3 linked regions of the Drosophila melanogaster genome follow. The protein of the gene in region 2 interacts with the protein of the main gene of each other region in a pairwise test. Each region holds a gene or a part of one and is shown on either strand. Other genes may lie near its edges.

Region 1 (4,598 bases), on a different chromosome or scaffold from region 2:
CCGGATCACTTACACTTGGTACGCATATGGCTGGGGGTTTGCTATATTTAGCGGATTGTCCACCACCATCTCGGGCAGCAGAGTCTTCAATGTCAGAATCAGCATCCGACACGTCTTGCTCCATATTCTCCGCTTCAGCAGACAAAAGCGCGAAGCGATTGTTATTTAATGCTGCTGCAGTGGAGGTAGAGGCCTCCTCATTGAGTGGCATAGTGGCCTGCCTTTTAGTTTTACGGCTTGGAGAAGGGGTGAGGATAGGTAATGGGGGCTGAGACACGCCTTTTCGTTTCCTGTTGACAGTACGATCATGTGCTTGAAAGGGGCATTTCGCTTTAGATGGCTTATTGGGCAGTGATGACAGAGGTGTCGGCAGTCCATTGTCATAAGGCGTAGTTGGGCAAATGCTAGTGGTCACGGTTGTGCAATCAGTGTATGTAGGAGTACAGATCATGTTGGCCTGTACGTTAGAAATAGTGCAGGTAACACTTGCATTGGTGTTGCTGCTGATTGTCACCATTAAGCTGGAGACCGTAGATTGAGTTGGCATACCTTCCAGGTTAGGGGAAACAACTGCACAGCTGGCGCGGAGTTGGGAGCGTAATTCTCCTGGCTCAACACCTGCTACTTTCCTCATTTTCTCAAATTTATCGCACCCATTGCTAGGTCGCGATTGAGCAAATGAATTCTCCATTATATCAATTGTCTTTATACTTATGCCGTATAATGCAATTGATATTTACTAAACACGATAAGATTTACCGGTTTACTTGTAAGGTAAATTGTAACAACCTCCCGCTTGCGCAGCGCGCAGGGCGAGGGGCAAAAACAACACAGCTTAGAAATTGCTAGTTGCTGATAAGTTTCGCGAACCGAAGCCGTCACCGTTATGCAGTGACTAAAAATAGATTTTGTTTGTGAGATAAGCACACGATCTGCGCAAATGTTTGTGATGGATCACAATTACGTTTTTGTTTTATCCGCGACTTCTGTGAACACGTCCACTCGATTGCTCATCTCCCATGCGACTGGCTCGGAAGAGCATGGCAAAATCGATGGCCAAATTAAATGGGGATTTACATATTCGCTCAGCGAGAGCTTTAGTTTAAAGGGAACGCTCGGTTGACTCATTGGTTGCTGGGAAAATATTTGTTTTTCCAACTCATTTAAAGAGTATCTATGATGCCACCTAAACTACATACATTCCACCAGGATTAATCAGGATAAAATCATGCTTATTTCTATTACTTTCTAGATTTCATTAGTCTAAGTTGCTTACTCTTTAAGCTAGTCATATTTTCATTAATTTACAAGCAATTCAATGAAAGGCTGTATTTAAGGGAACATTTTAAATATGTTTATGCACAATAAACTATACAAATAAACGCAGTTTAAGGAGTTGGTAAAACAATTTCACTTCAGATTCAATTGTATATGTAACAAAAATCAAAACAAAAAACACTTTAATACGCTTAATAAAAGGCCATTTAAATACGCCTCTTACTTCTATTTTTAAAATATGAAATATTTAAACAGCAATACTGACATTAAGCTCTGCTGACATAATATCTAAAATTTCCAATAAAAACGATTTAATTTGAATTCGATTATTAGATAACCCGATTGAGGGCATTAATGCAATTGGAAATGCAAATCTCTTCGGCTGGATTTCCAATCAGCCCAGCTCTGCGCCCCATGGGAATGGCAATCGCAATCGAACTTCAATTACATTACACTCATCATTAGCCAATTAGCTAAATTATAGGCTGTGCGACGACAAGTGCCAAATGGCCTCAGTTCCCAATCCCAATGCCCATTTCCCATTTCCCACTTCCCAATCCCACTTCCATTTCGAATCGTACTGCCACTTCCGTTTATAGTGTCAATCGCTAGCCCGCAGATTGCCCTCCTCGATGGCGACAATTGGTGCAGAATAAAAGACATTTGCCCAGCACTTTGCAGCACAGTCTGGAGTGGATCTGCCGGTAAGGAGCTTATAGAAAGTGCCGAGCAATGACAATCGAGGATATCGGCCTGGTGGGCATCAACGTGCGGATGTGGCGACACTTGGCCGTGCTGTACCCCACTCCGGGCTCCAGCTGGCGCAAGTTCGCCTTCGTGCTGCCGGTGACTGCGATGAATCTGATGCAGTTCGTCTACCTGCTGCGGATGTGGGGCGACCTGCCCGCCTTCATTCTGAACATGTTCTTCTTCTCGGCCATTTTCAACGCCCTGATGCGCACGTGGCTGGTCATAATCAAGCGGCGCCAGTTCGAGGAGTTTCTCGGCCAACTGGCCACTCTGTTCCATTCGATTCTCGACTCCACCGACGAGTGGGGGCGTGGCATCCTGCGGAGGGCGGAACGGGAGGCTCGGAACCTGGCCATCCTTAATTTGAGTGCCTCCTTCCTGGACATTGTCGGTGCTCTGGTATCGCCGCTTTTCAGGGAGGAGAGAGGTTAGTACACTCACAGAATGGGATTAAAATAACCGTCATTCAAATCGAAAGGATATTTGTAGAGTAAAAGAGTGGAAAATTGCTAAATAGTGGTTAAAACTGCAAAGTAGTTTGTGCATTGCTTAGTTTTTCGAATATAAATTCCCAATTGGTGTTGTCACTTTTTTCCTTCCAGCTCATCCCTTCGGCTTAGCTCTACCAGGAGTGAGCATGACCAGTTCACCCGTCTACGAGGTTATCTACTTGGCCCAACTGCCTACGCCCCTGCTGCTGTCCATGATGTACATGCCTTTCGTCAGCCTTTTTGCCGGCCTGGCCATCTTTGGGAAGGCCATGCTGCAGATCCTGGTACACAGGCTGGGCCAGATTGGCGGAGAAGAGCAGTCGGAGGAGGAGCGCTTCCAAAGGCTGGCCTCCTGCATTGCGTACCACACGCAGGTGATGCGGTGAGCCGCAGGGGAAGAAATCGGGGGTTGGGGAAATCTCTAAGCTGCTCATTTCCATTTCAGCTATGTGTGGCAGCTCAACAAACTGGTGGCCAACATTGTGGCGGTGGAAGCAATTATTTTTGGCTCGATAATCTGCTCACTGCTCTTCTGTCTGAATATTGTAGGCCACTGATTTTGAGTTCGGGTGCCACAGAGCCTCCATAAATTGGAAGAACCAAAACTTTGGGATGGCGGTCTTCTATGGCACTGTGGCACTCCGAGATCTAAGACTGTGGTCCTTTTAAAAATACCATTACCATTCCAGATAACCTCACCCACCCAGGTGATCTCGATAGTGATGTACATTCTGACCATGCTGTACGTTCTCTTCACCTACTACAATCGGGCCAATGAAATATGCCTCGAGGTGATACTACCAACTCCATTCAATTTGATAGCTATCCATGACTCCTTATAACTTGTATCCATGCAGAACAACCGGGTGGCGGAGGCTGTTTACAATGTGCCCTGGTACGAGGCAGGAACTCGGTTTCGCAAAACCCTCCTGATCTTCTTGATGCAAACACAACACCCGATGGAGGTGGGTGGGCATTGGGTGCATTTCATTTGCGAGTCATTGCGAGGACTGTAATCCATTTCCATTCCGGGTGCTGTGCGCTCCATTTCATCTTGCAGATAAGAGTCGGCAACGTTTACCCCATGACATTGGCCATGTTCCAGAGTCTGTTGAATGCGTCCTACTCCTACTTTACCATGCTGCGTGGCGTCACCGGCAAATGAGCTGAAAGACCGAAAAAACCGGAGTATCCCCTTCCATATTCCCCCTGCTCCTTTATTTTCCTTTTCCTTTTCCCTTTCCCTTTTCCCATTCGCTTTTCCAGCAATCCGGGTAATGCAAAAAGTTGTTGCTGGCTGTGGTCCTGGCTGCTTGTTTGGCATTTGCATATGCTTGTCGTTTGAAAGGATTTAATCGGACTGCTGGCACGGAGTCGGCATCCTGGCTCCTGGATCCTGGCATGCAAATAGTTGGCTTCTTAGATTGTTACACAAAATAGATTGTAGATTGCAGCTGAATGTTGTGCTTGGAATAAAGTCAAAAGGATGTGGAGTCGGCCCAAGGCTCTGCCCATTCTGTTTGCTCGGGATGCCCGAAAGTATGATTCACAAATATCAAAGCATTCGGATTTGCGGCGATGGTGGCTTTCAATTAGGGCAAGAAGGATGTTCCACAGCGATATGAATAAGTAAATATTTGGTCTTCCAAGCAATTAGTGTTGATATTGATTGAGTGGCATTAGTTCGTGCTTTATGCCCTATGCATTTTTTATTGCTCAATTTTCGCCGCATACTTTCAGGCTGGCCCATCGAATTTGAATATCCGAGGGTCGCCCTCTGCGCTTTTAATTAAAATGCCCAAAAACTAGTCGTTGTCTGGTGCAATTTAATTAACATTAGTCATGTCCTTTATTATGCAAATAAACTGCTGCTACTGCTGCTGCTTCTGTTGCTGCTGCTGTGAGCAGGATCGTTTAATGCCGGCCCGACAGCAATAACAACTTAATTTAAAATTCATTATAACTGACACCAACTAGTTAAACAATTGCCGGCGGCAGCAGGAACAGCAGCATAAACATCAACAGCACCAAAGGACAACTAAGCGGGAGCACAACAAGGACGAAGGACGAAGGAAGTAG
Region 2 (7,533 bases):
ATGGTATCTAAGCAGAAGTGCAACAATATAAAATTAAGCTTAGAATTATTATTATTTTAATAGCTATCACTATCGATTTGCACATTTTTATCCGTATGAAAATAAAAATTAGGCAAGACACTTAAAATTAAGCATGCAAATTCTAATCACATGATTATTATAGATTCTATTAATACTACTACTGAGCCAACTTATATCGATATTCAAATAATATTTGTATTTTAATCTTCCACACGTTATATAGGCATATTTAATGCACCTCATGCTTTTACATAATTGCCGAAAGAGTGGCAACGTCTTGCCACAGCGTCTCTTATAATTTTAAACTCGTGGAGCTGAGCCATCTCAGATTTAACTCTCCCTGCGCATGCTCTCGCGTGGGAGAACAACTTCGAATTTCGGGCAGAAGGATAACAAAGAAAGCACTCCAACGAAACGAACACCCTACAGACTAATATAGAACACCACAAGACCAAAACTCGTTTAGTTGCCGCGTTGACAACTTTGTGGCAGGCGGCAAACAAACAAACCTCACACTAGTCCTGAATGTCCTTTATGCGGACAGCTGTGGGGGCGGGGATCCTGTTGCAATTCCATTGTGAAAGCCAAATGCATTGACCTGCTTAGACAGCTGAGAGATTTACAACTCCCCTATAACTCCTGGCCGTGCTGCAGTTCTGGGAAAGGGAGCAGCGGCATTAAATGGCAAATAAATCTAAAGTTAAACTTTTGACACTGTCTCGGCGAGCAGCCACGAAGGCACTTCCTTCCGACTCCCTCGACTTCCGGTTGGAATCTGTCGCCCTGTCAGCGGCAACAGAAGAAGTGACACTGGCACGCAGACAAGTGCACTGAGAGAAATTGCTTCGGTCATAGCTCAGTGAAATACTAATTATTTCTGCTGAGAAATATTGACAATTTAAAACAAAAGTCATAAAATATGAGCATACATTTTTTATGATTAACTAAATACTAATGCATTCGTTAAATATATATATACCGCCGAAAACAAATTAAGACATTTCCTATTCTGTCAATTACAATTTCATATTCAGTTATATTGTTTTAAACTAAACTGGCGATATATAAACTTTCTGGCTGAAAAATCTTTCTGAAATTGTACACCAGCAATTTCTCCATGTGTACTACTGTGCGATGTATAAGGATTGGATTTATGAGCGCCCAGCACCTCTACCGAAATCTTATAAAACCCGGGAATAAATAATAATAATTCTTGCGCTTTTCGCTGTTGTTCGCATTTCCCGCATTTCTCTGCCATTCTTTTCCATTCTTATGACAATGTCAACATTTCTTTTGCTCCCCTAATGGCCTGAAGAAAGCACACGCACACACACACACACATATAGACCACTCGCACACTATGAAACCGAATGTGGCACACACCCCACGCACTTATTTATATGTATTTTCGATCGTCTGTTGTTTTTCCAAGTCGGTTATGCATAGCCATAAATTCTGGTAAAAGCCTTCTGTAGGTCGAGGGCCACGGCGGTCCGAAAATAAAGGAATTGCTCCTGATGCTGGCACTTACGCACACAGCCAAGCAGCAGGATGGGAGAGAGAGGACCTCGCACACACGGACTCACGCACTCACACGCAATTGGTGTTCTCGCCGTTTTTGTTTGTCACTTAACAGATTTTTCTGTCCTTGCTGGGTATTGATTTCTAATTTTTCCTTCGTCGGCTTTGCGCCCCAAAGAGGTTTTTATAATGTGTGCGTGTGTGTGTGTGTGTGTGTCGCATTGATTTCGCAATTTATGGGCGATTTGATGGATTGCTTGAATAACTTTATATGCTTATTTTTGAGTTTTTATTGTTTTACAACTTGCGGTATTTTATGTAGAGATCCTGTGGACGACCTAATGGAAATCATTTGGTTTTGGCTGAAATGCGGCCATAAAGGTGTGAATCAAAATAATGTTGCCTATACTTCGGGTATATCATTTCATATGGAAAGCGCTTAATAATAATTATATAAATATATAATTTCTAGTTAATGTGACTTTATTAACCCATTAGTGCGTTTTAATCATTTAATTTGGCATCAGAATCGATCACAGTCACGAACACAAAAGCGTAATGGTAAAAATAAAGGCTCATTTGTTTAAGTTGTAAATTAAATAAAGCAAGTGTCACTTTCCATTTAAATGTTGCCTAATAATTAATGACAAAAGGCTGCAGGGCTCACGATGTCCGCGGTTAGCTAATTGATCCAAACGCATCCGCGTAATTAAACTTTCAGCCACAAGCCCATAAAATAAATCAAAAAGCGAAGGACCGAAAGGGGCAACATTTAGGGGGGGGGGGCTTGTTTCGCATGGCTGAGTTCAGGACGATTAAACGTTAAATCAATATTGTTAAATCCCCGCTCGCATCCCCGCAATCCACACAGGCAAGTGTTCACGTATTAATTGATGTTCGTGAGTGTCCTGCATTTAAATAATCCATGATTTGGGACATCTGTGTCTGAGTTCCCATTCATATATGTATGCATATGTGTATATGAGTGGTGGAAACTAGCTGCAGATATAGCTACAGACACAGATACATTTACATTCCGGCACATAGTTTTAAGTGTGATTCAGTTATTCACAATAGTCGCCGCTTTTTGTTCTTGCCACGTTTTAATATTGTCACAACTAGTTTCGAATAACTAAATTGGATGTTTTCGATTAGCATTCAATACACTGCTCAGCAATTTCGTTTGCGTTGCAATTTGAGTACTAGATTTTGAATTAGACAATTGTTTTATTAATTGCCTACATGTATATTACCTAACTGATTTCGAAGGCCACTTGTACGACCTTGAGATAGAGTATTAATTATTTAAATTCTACTGTATTATAATTGCAAAGAATTGTAAGTATTCATAATATATAATGGCAACCCAATTTAAGACTTCTTTTGAAGGCCCCCGCCTACCGAAATTCAGTGCCTATGAGAACTGAGAACGAAAAAAATTGAGCAAGGACCAAATATCCATCAGGCTGAACACACACATTTTCATGCAAATAGGCAATGTGTTATTTTTTTGGGTCAGCGATTCACGGAGGGATCCCCACCAAATGGGTTGGCTGAGGAATGGCCTATCCCCATATCTCAGCGGCACTTGGGGCAGGCCAACAAATACAAGCAGGCATAATAAAATAATCGATGCTTTTAAAATTTGCATAAGTTTGGATACCGCAGATGCCGCGCAAGGATGAGCCCATCTCCAGTCCCAGTGCCATTCCGCCAGTGCGCATACGCCGCGTGGAGGGCACAGGACTGGGCCATGGCCCATGGCCCAAAAGCGGAGTCCTAGACCCGGAGACGACAGCAGTGGTGGACAAGTTCGTGGGCGTTCGATTTAATTGTGGGAATTCTGCGTCTGCCACGCACCCATCACATCGATGGACGTGGCTGAAGAGCTGAATTTTTAAGCGCTCCAAGGCGGCCCGATACCCATATTGTATATTTTCATTACCATGTGTGGGTCGGAGTGAAAGTCGCGGGCTAGGATTTAATGTGGCCTTGTTGCAGCCGTGGGAACTCGTCCTCAAAGTACACGTCCTTATGTACAGCGGAGCAAGTACCTAGCCGACAGAAGGAGCAGGCACTTGTCGACAGAGCTTTTTAACCTTCCGGATTTCACATTTCATTACCGTCGACATCGCGGTGCTGGCAGGTCAACTGTGTCCTGGTTCCGGAAAGCCTCATATCTCGTATCTTAAAGTATCCCGGTTAAGCCTTAAAGAGTGAAATGATTGCCTAGATGATTGCTGCATTACTGGCACTCAATTAACCCAAGTGTACCAGACAACAATTACATTTGTATTTTTAAAGTTCAATAGCAAGGTAATAGCACTGGGTCTTTCAATATTACAATATTACCAATTAGAGAACCATATATCGTACACAATTGTTCCACATTCCGAATTTAATAACTCACGATCGATAGCCAAATTAATATTAATTTGAGAGGACATGAGTCCACCTGAATATTCAATATGCATTATACATTATCCCGCTATGAATAAAACATTCCAAATCGATTCATTTCGGGCAGGAAAATTCCTTTTCTACTCGGCAAGCAAACCAAGGACTAATCACAAATACGGAATATTGAACAGATTACGTTCATAATAGCTGATTGTGTTGGCGAAACCTATTAATTTTGTCGTGCAATTTCCGCCGCTCAACAGGATGACAACCTCGATGCAGCCGAGCAAGTACACGGGCCTGGTCGCCGACCTGATGCCCAACATCCGGGCGATGAAGTACTCCGGCCTGTTCATGCACAACTTCACGGGCGGCAGTGCCTTCATGAAGAAGGTGTACTCCTCCGTGCACCTGGTGTTCCTCCTCATGCAGTTCACCTTCATCCTGGTCAACATGGCCCTGAACGCCGAGGAGGTCAACGAGCTGTCGGGCAACACGATCACGACCCTCTTCTTCACCCACTGCATCACGAAGTTTATCTACCTGGCTGTTAACCAGAAGAATTTCTACAGGTGAGCCTCTGCTCACCGCACCGAGCTTACGAACACTTGGGGAATTTAAAATTTTATGTTTTTCCGGCAGAACATTGAATATATGGAACCAGGTGAACACGCATCCCTTGTTCGCCGAGTCGGATGCTCGTTACCATTCGATCGCACTGGCGAAGATGAGGAAGCTGTTCTTTCTGGTGATGCTGACCACAGTCGCCTCGGCCACCGCCTGGACCACGATCACCTTCTTTGGCGACAGCGTAAAAATGGTGGTGGACCATGAGACGAACTCCAGCATCCCGGTGGAGATACCCCGGCTGCCGATTAAGTCCTTCTACCCGTGGAACGCCAGCCACGGCATGTTCTACATGATCAGCTTTGCCTTTCAGATCTACTACGTGCTCTTCTCGATGATCCACTCCAATCTATGCGACGTGATGTTCTGCTCTTGGCTGATATTCGCCTGCGAGCAGCTGCAGCACTTGAAGGGCATCATGAAGCCGCTGATGGAGCTGTCCGCCTCGCTGGACACCTACAGGCCCAACTCGGCGGCCCTCTTCAGGTCCCTGTCGGCCAACTCCAAGTCGGAGCTAATTCATAATGAAGGTGATTTGTTGAGTCTGAACCTAAACTTTTAGGCGGTTATTCAGTGAGCACTTCACTGAATAGGAAAATGCCATGACGAGCTGTTTTTCCATTGCAGAAAAGGATCCCGGCACCGACATGGACATGTCGGGCATCTACAGCTCGAAAGCGGATTGGGGCGCTCAGTTTCGAGCACCCTCGACACTGCAGTCCTTTGGCGGGAACGGGGGCGGAGGCAACGGGTTGGTGAACGGCGCTAATCCCAACGGGCTGACCAAAAAGCAGGAGATGATGGTGCGCAGTGCCATCAAGTACTGGGTCGAGCGGCACAAGCACGTGGTGCGGTGAGTTCAAATCCTGGCCAAATTGGACCAGCCATTTCAAGGGGGCTTTGGCCAGTGATGATTGGATTTTTGGCGATTTAAATGGCAGAGCAGTCCACTCATATTTCATGGACTTGGATTTTTGCCTTTAACAGAGCACCGAACATAATAAACACACACACTTTCCCCTCAGTTTTGTAAAACTTCAATAGGCGCCATCGGAACATGTGTTCTCATTTATTAGGAGCTCAACAGATCCCTGCAGCTTGTTTGACTTACTTGATTACTTCCTCAATTGCAATCATTGTTGGGGGCCCTAGAGGAATGTCCTTGTTTGTCCTGTCCGACAGTTGGCGTGTGCAGTTGTTGATACCAATATTGACTTGATTCCTGCCTGCAATCCCTCATCCTTTCCCCCGTTGCCTTTTCCCCACAGACTGGTGGCTGCCATCGGCGATACTTACGGAGCCGCCCTCCTCCTCCACATGCTGACCTCGACCATCAAGCTGACCCTGCTGGCATACCAGGCCACCAAAATCAACGGAGTGAATGTCTACGCCTTCACAGTCGTCGGATACCTAGGATACGCGCTGGCCCAGGTGTTCCACTTTTGCATCTTTGGCAATCGTCTGATTGAAGAGGTGAGTTTGTGCAGGGTTGCAAGATAAATTTATAAGTAAATCAGACATCAGTCTCAACTGATTAATAATCGAGAACATCCTTATTTGAGTTATAGGGATATTTATAAAAAATTTTGAGACTTCATTAAAACTAAATGAATTGTAAGTTGAGAGTCAACAGATTGGTCCGTTCACTACAAGCTAACCAGTGTGTTTTTTCCATGTGGTAGAAATAAAAGGGTGTTTTTGCGTATGAGATAAAATTGAACCAATGTTTTCAAGTTTATAGATTGGGAAACATACATAGTTCTAAACGTTGTTATAGTTATAGTTTGTGTAGTTAGTTATCTAGAGCATCCTTAATACGACTTTCATTTCGCAGAGTTCATCCGTCATGGAGGCCGCCTACTCGTGCCACTGGTACGATGGCTCCGAGGAGGCCAAGACCTTCGTCCAGATCGTGTGCCAGCAGTGCCAGAAGGCGATGAGCATATCGGGAGCGAAATTCTTCACCGTCTCCCTGGATTTGTTTGCTTCGGTTTGTTGCATTTGATTTATTGATCTATTGATGGAGTTAAAACTGAATCGGATATTCCCGATTCGCAGGTTCTGGGTGCCGTCGTCACCTACTTTATGGTGCTGGTGCAGCTCAAGTAAGTTGCTGCGAAGCTGATGGATTTTTGTACCAGAAAAGCGAATGCCAAGAAGCCACCTACCGCCCCTTGCCCCCTCCGCACTGTGCAACCAGCAATATCACAGAGCAATTATAACGCAAATTATATATTTTATACCTGCGACGAGCGAGCCTCGTGGGGCATAATGGAGACATTCTGGGGCACATAGAAGCCTGCAAATACTTATCGATTTTGTACACGCGTAGAGCTTTTAATGTAAACCCAAGATGCAAACTAAATAAATGTGTAGTGAAACTCGAAGGTTTAATGGGGGGTTAATAGAATAGAAACAGGCGGAGTTTATTTCATTTTAAATTTCGAATTCATTCGAATTTATTTGCATCTTAAGTATTAATATATATATATATTCTGCATATACAATATAAAATCTAGAATATTGTCAACTATAATATATTTTGGTTTAGCAAACTCAAATAGAGAACTGTTTCTCAATTACTTTAATGTGTGTTATGAACTTTTTTTTCTGAGCTCCATTGTTAAATTGCTAGTTTAGATTCAAGTTGGGTCAGGAGCGGCTTGTAGTCCATCAATTAGTTTTAATTCAATAATTATCGGTGCTGTTCACATGATAAGCGTGGAATTTAATGGGCTAGACGCCGTGTTTATCGCATCACTGGCTTGCATGCCGCAATTTTCACGGCAAACGTATGTGCAAAACGAACTAAATTTAGGAATAAATGCGGATTATAATCATAATCTTTGGGCCGTAGTCGTTTTGGCCACATTTTTGGCAACTGTTGGCGCAACAGCAGAAGCAGTATGAGTACGATTAGAAACGGCCAGCCATCGTCAGCAGTTGCAGTGGCAACAATTAAAA
Region 3 (3,988 bases), on a different chromosome or scaffold from region 2:
CGTGTATATGCATTACTTTAATAGCGATGTTCTCATATATATATTTTTCACCCTTAAACATTACCACTTAAAAAACTTAATCACTTAAATTCCAAAATATTTGCGTGCGTACCAATCCATTTGTCATCAGATCGCCGTCAATAAATTTATGTTATGTATACGTTGTTTGTAACCGGAATATGTTGTAAATTAGTCAAGCATATAATAGCTACTGTCGCCACAGTTTTAATTAGTTAGAGGAATAGCCAATTAAAACCAAAAATAATAGTAATAGTTCGGTTGTTTTCTTTTTTTGTACCATATTCTGTGGTGTTTCGGTCACAATTTAGACTAGACTTCAATGACCAACGATGAGAATCAGTCTGAATTCACACATATGGTATATTTTCCAGGAATCGTTGATTTAAAGATGAGTTTGTAAACTGTGTAACCTCTACTTAAGTTGACTTTTCAATGATTTAATTATAGCTTGTGAAACTCGCGATAACTTAAAAATTAAAAAATGCAAAAAAGCCCGTTTCGATCGTTTACACAAAAATATACCCATTAGGAATAAAATGCACGATCTGGAAGGATCATAATTTGCCAATACCCACCCATCTTTATAACTTAAATTGGATTGCGCACTGCAGACGCTGATTGAATTTTAAATTTCGTCTCTCTACCATGAGCCGGAAAAAAAAAATGTAAAATATTCCGATTAATTACCAGAACCGACAAAAGATTCTAGGGCGGGCACATGGACGGGTTGTCTCCGCCGAATGCATTTAATTTGCATGTTCACGAAGGTCCTTTTGTGTGCATTTGTATGTCTGGATGTCCGTCCTCAACGCCAATGAGTCAATATTATTACGGTCGACGCTTCACACTCTCCGTGAAATTGGCAAAAGGGAAAGCGGCCGCAAACGCTGGCAAAAATGCTTTCAATTAATTAAACACCCGAAAAGCAAGGCTATAATGAGAATGCAATGTGCTGTGCAAAGTGCTCTAAAGAGAGATGTTTGGTCGGGGAAACCCGCAGCGGGTCCCTCGATCAACTCAATCAACAATGATGCCAATTTACAGGACACTCGATGCACGTAGCGAAAGCTTAAATGATGTCCAAACTTTATATTATATCTTTGAAATTGTTTTAAAGTCATTTGGGATCTGTAAAGTTGTCTAAAGATTTGCTGTAATACATAAAATATATTTATAATATGATTGATACACGTTTAATCTCTTCTATTTAATTCATTGTGTGCCTTTCAAGGTCTTCAGCACATCATCATTTTTATACATTTTTAGAATATATTTCGGAAATTATAAATCAAATTTAAGCCGCATATTTTTCACGAGTGCAGTCTGCGGCATGCAGCTCATTAATAATACAGATAATGTGTTTGGCGGCAATCATTTTTCGGTTGCATGCCATCGCGGTGGCATTGATTAACACCGCCAATGGTCAACGCAATGTCAGACGAAAGGCAATGATATTGGGCGGGAAAAGGGGAATTCGGTTCAGTATGGTCGTATGAAGATGTATGGCGAATTAATGTATTTTTGGTAGTGTTTTACTCGGTAAATTGCTTGTTAAGTTCCTGATCGTTGAACGAGCATAATTCCATTCAGCTGAAATGTAACCTGCGGTCGATTAAATGTCATATGACATTTTCTACTGACATTCTTTAAAAACTTACAGCAAATACGAAACAGAACTAAAGCTCTTAAAACCGCCAAGTCATGTGAGACCATTTGCAACAGTGAGGCAGCCTATAAAAAGCACTGTTTCCCAGCTCAAGCAAATATTCAAACAAAGCCACGGACAAGATGTTAAGCAAGTTTTTTCCCCACATAAAAGAAAAGCCATTGAGCGAGCGGGTTAAGTCCCGAGATGCCTTCATTTACTTGGATCGGGTGATGTGGTCCTTTGGCTGGACAGAGCCTGAAAACAAAAGGTAATGAAATCAATGTAAGCACATATATAAGTATTAAAGCTACCATAATTTCCCGTAAAGGTGGATCCTTCCTTATAAACTGTGGTTAGCGTTCGTGAACATAGTAATGCTCATCCTTCTGCCGATCTCGATAAGCATCGAGTACCTCCACCGATTTAAAACCTTCTCGGCGGGGGAGTTCCTTAGTTCCCTCGAGATTGGAGTCAACATGTACGGAAGCTCTTTTAAGTGCGCCTTCACCTTGATTGGATTCAAGAAAAGACAGGAAGCTAAGGTTTTACTGGATCAGCTGGACAAGAGATGCCTTAGCGATAAGGAGAGGTCCACTGTTCATCGCTATGTCGCCATGGGAAACTTTTTCGATATTTTGTATCACATTTTTTACTCCACCTTCGTGGTAATGAACTTCCCGTATTTTCTGCTTGAGAGACGCCATGCTTGGCGCATGTACTTTCCATATATCGATTCCGACGAACAGTTTTACATCTCCAGCATCGCCGAGTGTTTTCTGATGACGGAGGCCATCTACATGGATCTCTGTACGGACGTGTGTCCCTTGATCTCCATGCTTATGGCTCGATGCCACATTAGCCTCCTGAAACAGCGACTGAGAAATCTCCGATCGAAGCCAGGAAGGACCGAAGATGAGTACTTGGAGGAGCTCACCGAGTGCATTCGGGATCATCGATTGCTATTGGAGTAAGGTGTTTCAAATGCTACAAGAACACTGTGTCGCAAAGACATAGTAAAATGAAATATTTGAAACAGTTTTCTTCTATTCCTTTCCTTTTTATTAATGGCCTTTTTTTATTTCTTAGCTATGTTGACGCATTGCGACCCGTCTTTTCGGGAACCATTTTTGTGCAGTTCCTCCTGATCGGTACTGTACTGGGTCTCTCAATGATAAATCTAATGTTCTTCTCGACATTTTGGACTGGTGTCGCCACTTGCCTTTTTATGTTCGACGTGTCCATGGAGACGTTCCCCTTTTGCTATTTGTGCAACATGATTATCGATGACTGCCAGGAAATGTCCAATTGCCTCTTTCAATCGGACTGGACCTCTGCCGATCGTCGCTACAAATCCACGTTGGTATACTTTCTTCACAATCTTCAGCAACCCATTACTCTCACGGCTGGTGGAGTGTTTCCTATTTCCATGCAAACAAATTTGGCTGTGGGTGTCAATATTTTAGATATATCATTGATTTTACACCTATTTTAAATTACTTTGTTATTATAGATGGTGAAGCTGGCATTTTCTGTGGTTACGGTAATTAAGCAATTTAACTTGGCCGAAAGGTTTCAATAAGTTGAGAGGGACGAGCTCTGCTACTATTATATTATATATTATATTATATTATATATATATTATTTTATATTATATATTGCTGTACCCTAATAAATATTTAGTAATATCACTGTTTTTCATATATATCAAACTTTGTGGCGCCCTCGGGTGGAAGAGTTTTGAAAGCCAGACAAACTGGAATACTGCAGTTTTTCGCAAAGGAAGGTGCATGGGTCGGATACACCACAACTGTCCACTTAATAAAATGCATTATTGCCAAATAACTAATGTAGTTACTTACAAAAAAAAAAACCGAAACATATAAAAGCTACAAAAACAAAATATGTGAGAGAATACAAGGGAAATGTATAATTCATACAAACTCTTTAAGAAGAGTTTCTTGGTTAATTGATCGATTTTAAACTTTTTTTTTTACTTATATTTTCCTTTTAGGTGTGAAGGTGTAGTTTGTAGGTGATTGTGGTCGAATGGAACCATACATTTGTTAACGTTTTCCCCGGTGACATTCCCGGAAAACTTTTAGCAAATACGAAACAAAGCTTAAGTTCTTGAAATCGCCAAGTCATGTGAGACCATTTGCAACAGTGAGGCGGCCTATAAAAAGCACTGTTTTCCAGCTCAAGCAAATAATCAAAAAGAGCCACGGACGAAATGTTAAGCCAGTTCTTTCCCCACATTAAAGAAAAGCCATTGAGCGAGCGGGTTAAGTCCCGAGATGCCTTCGTTTACTTAGATCGGGT

The links.
Region 1: the proteins of Orco (region 2) and Or43a interact in a two-hybrid assay, tested with the Drosophila melanogaster proteins (2 studies listed by BioGRID, with this or other methods).
Region 3: the proteins of Orco (region 2) and Or22a come close enough for resonance energy transfer, tested with the Drosophila melanogaster proteins (3 studies listed by BioGRID, with this or other methods).

What each region holds. Positions count from the first base shown.
Region 1 is NT_033778.4:7,232,305-7,236,902, reverse strand, and holds Or43a (odorant receptor 43a), read left to right. Parts: upstream 1-1,989; 5' UTR 1,990-2,010; coding exon 2,011-2,455; intron 2,456-2,630; coding exon 2,631-2,901; intron 2,902-2,964; coding exon 2,965-3,064; intron 3,065-3,208; coding exon 3,209-3,310; intron 3,311-3,376; coding exon 3,377-3,484; intron 3,485-3,579; coding exon 3,580-3,684; 3' UTR 3,685-4,063; downstream 4,064-4,598.
Region 2 is NT_033777.3:5,406,597-5,414,129, reverse strand, and holds Orco (odorant receptor co-receptor), read left to right. Parts: upstream 1-1,723; 5' UTR 1,724-1,735; intron 1,736-3,660; exon of another isoform or gene 3,661-3,858; intron 3,859-4,205; 5' UTR 4,206-4,206; coding exon 4,207-4,514; intron 4,515-4,584; coding exon 4,585-5,099; intron 5,100-5,196; coding exon 5,197-5,422; intron 5,423-5,837; coding exon 5,838-6,042; intron 6,043-6,403; coding exon 6,404-6,559; intron 6,560-6,627; coding exon 6,628-6,678; 3' UTR 6,679-6,947; downstream 6,948-7,533. UniProt on the Drosophila melanogaster protein: Odorant coreceptor which complexes with conventional odorant receptors (ORs) to form odorant-sensing units, providing sensitive and prolonged odorant signaling and calcium permeability.
Region 3 is NT_033779.5:1,518,804-1,522,791, forward strand, and holds Or22a (odorant receptor 22a), read left to right. Parts: upstream 1-1,687; 5' UTR 1,688-1,809; coding exon 1,810-1,937; intron 1,938-1,997; coding exon 1,998-2,636; intron 2,637-2,755; coding exon 2,756-3,113; intron 3,114-3,179; coding exon 3,180-3,248; 3' UTR 3,249-3,353; downstream 3,354-3,988. Other genes in the region: Or22b (odorant receptor 22b), read left to right, coding at 3,900-3,988. UniProt on the Drosophila melanogaster protein: Odorant receptor which mediates acceptance or avoidance behavior, depending on its substrates. The odorant receptor repertoire encodes a large collection of odor stimuli that vary widely in identity, intensity, and duration.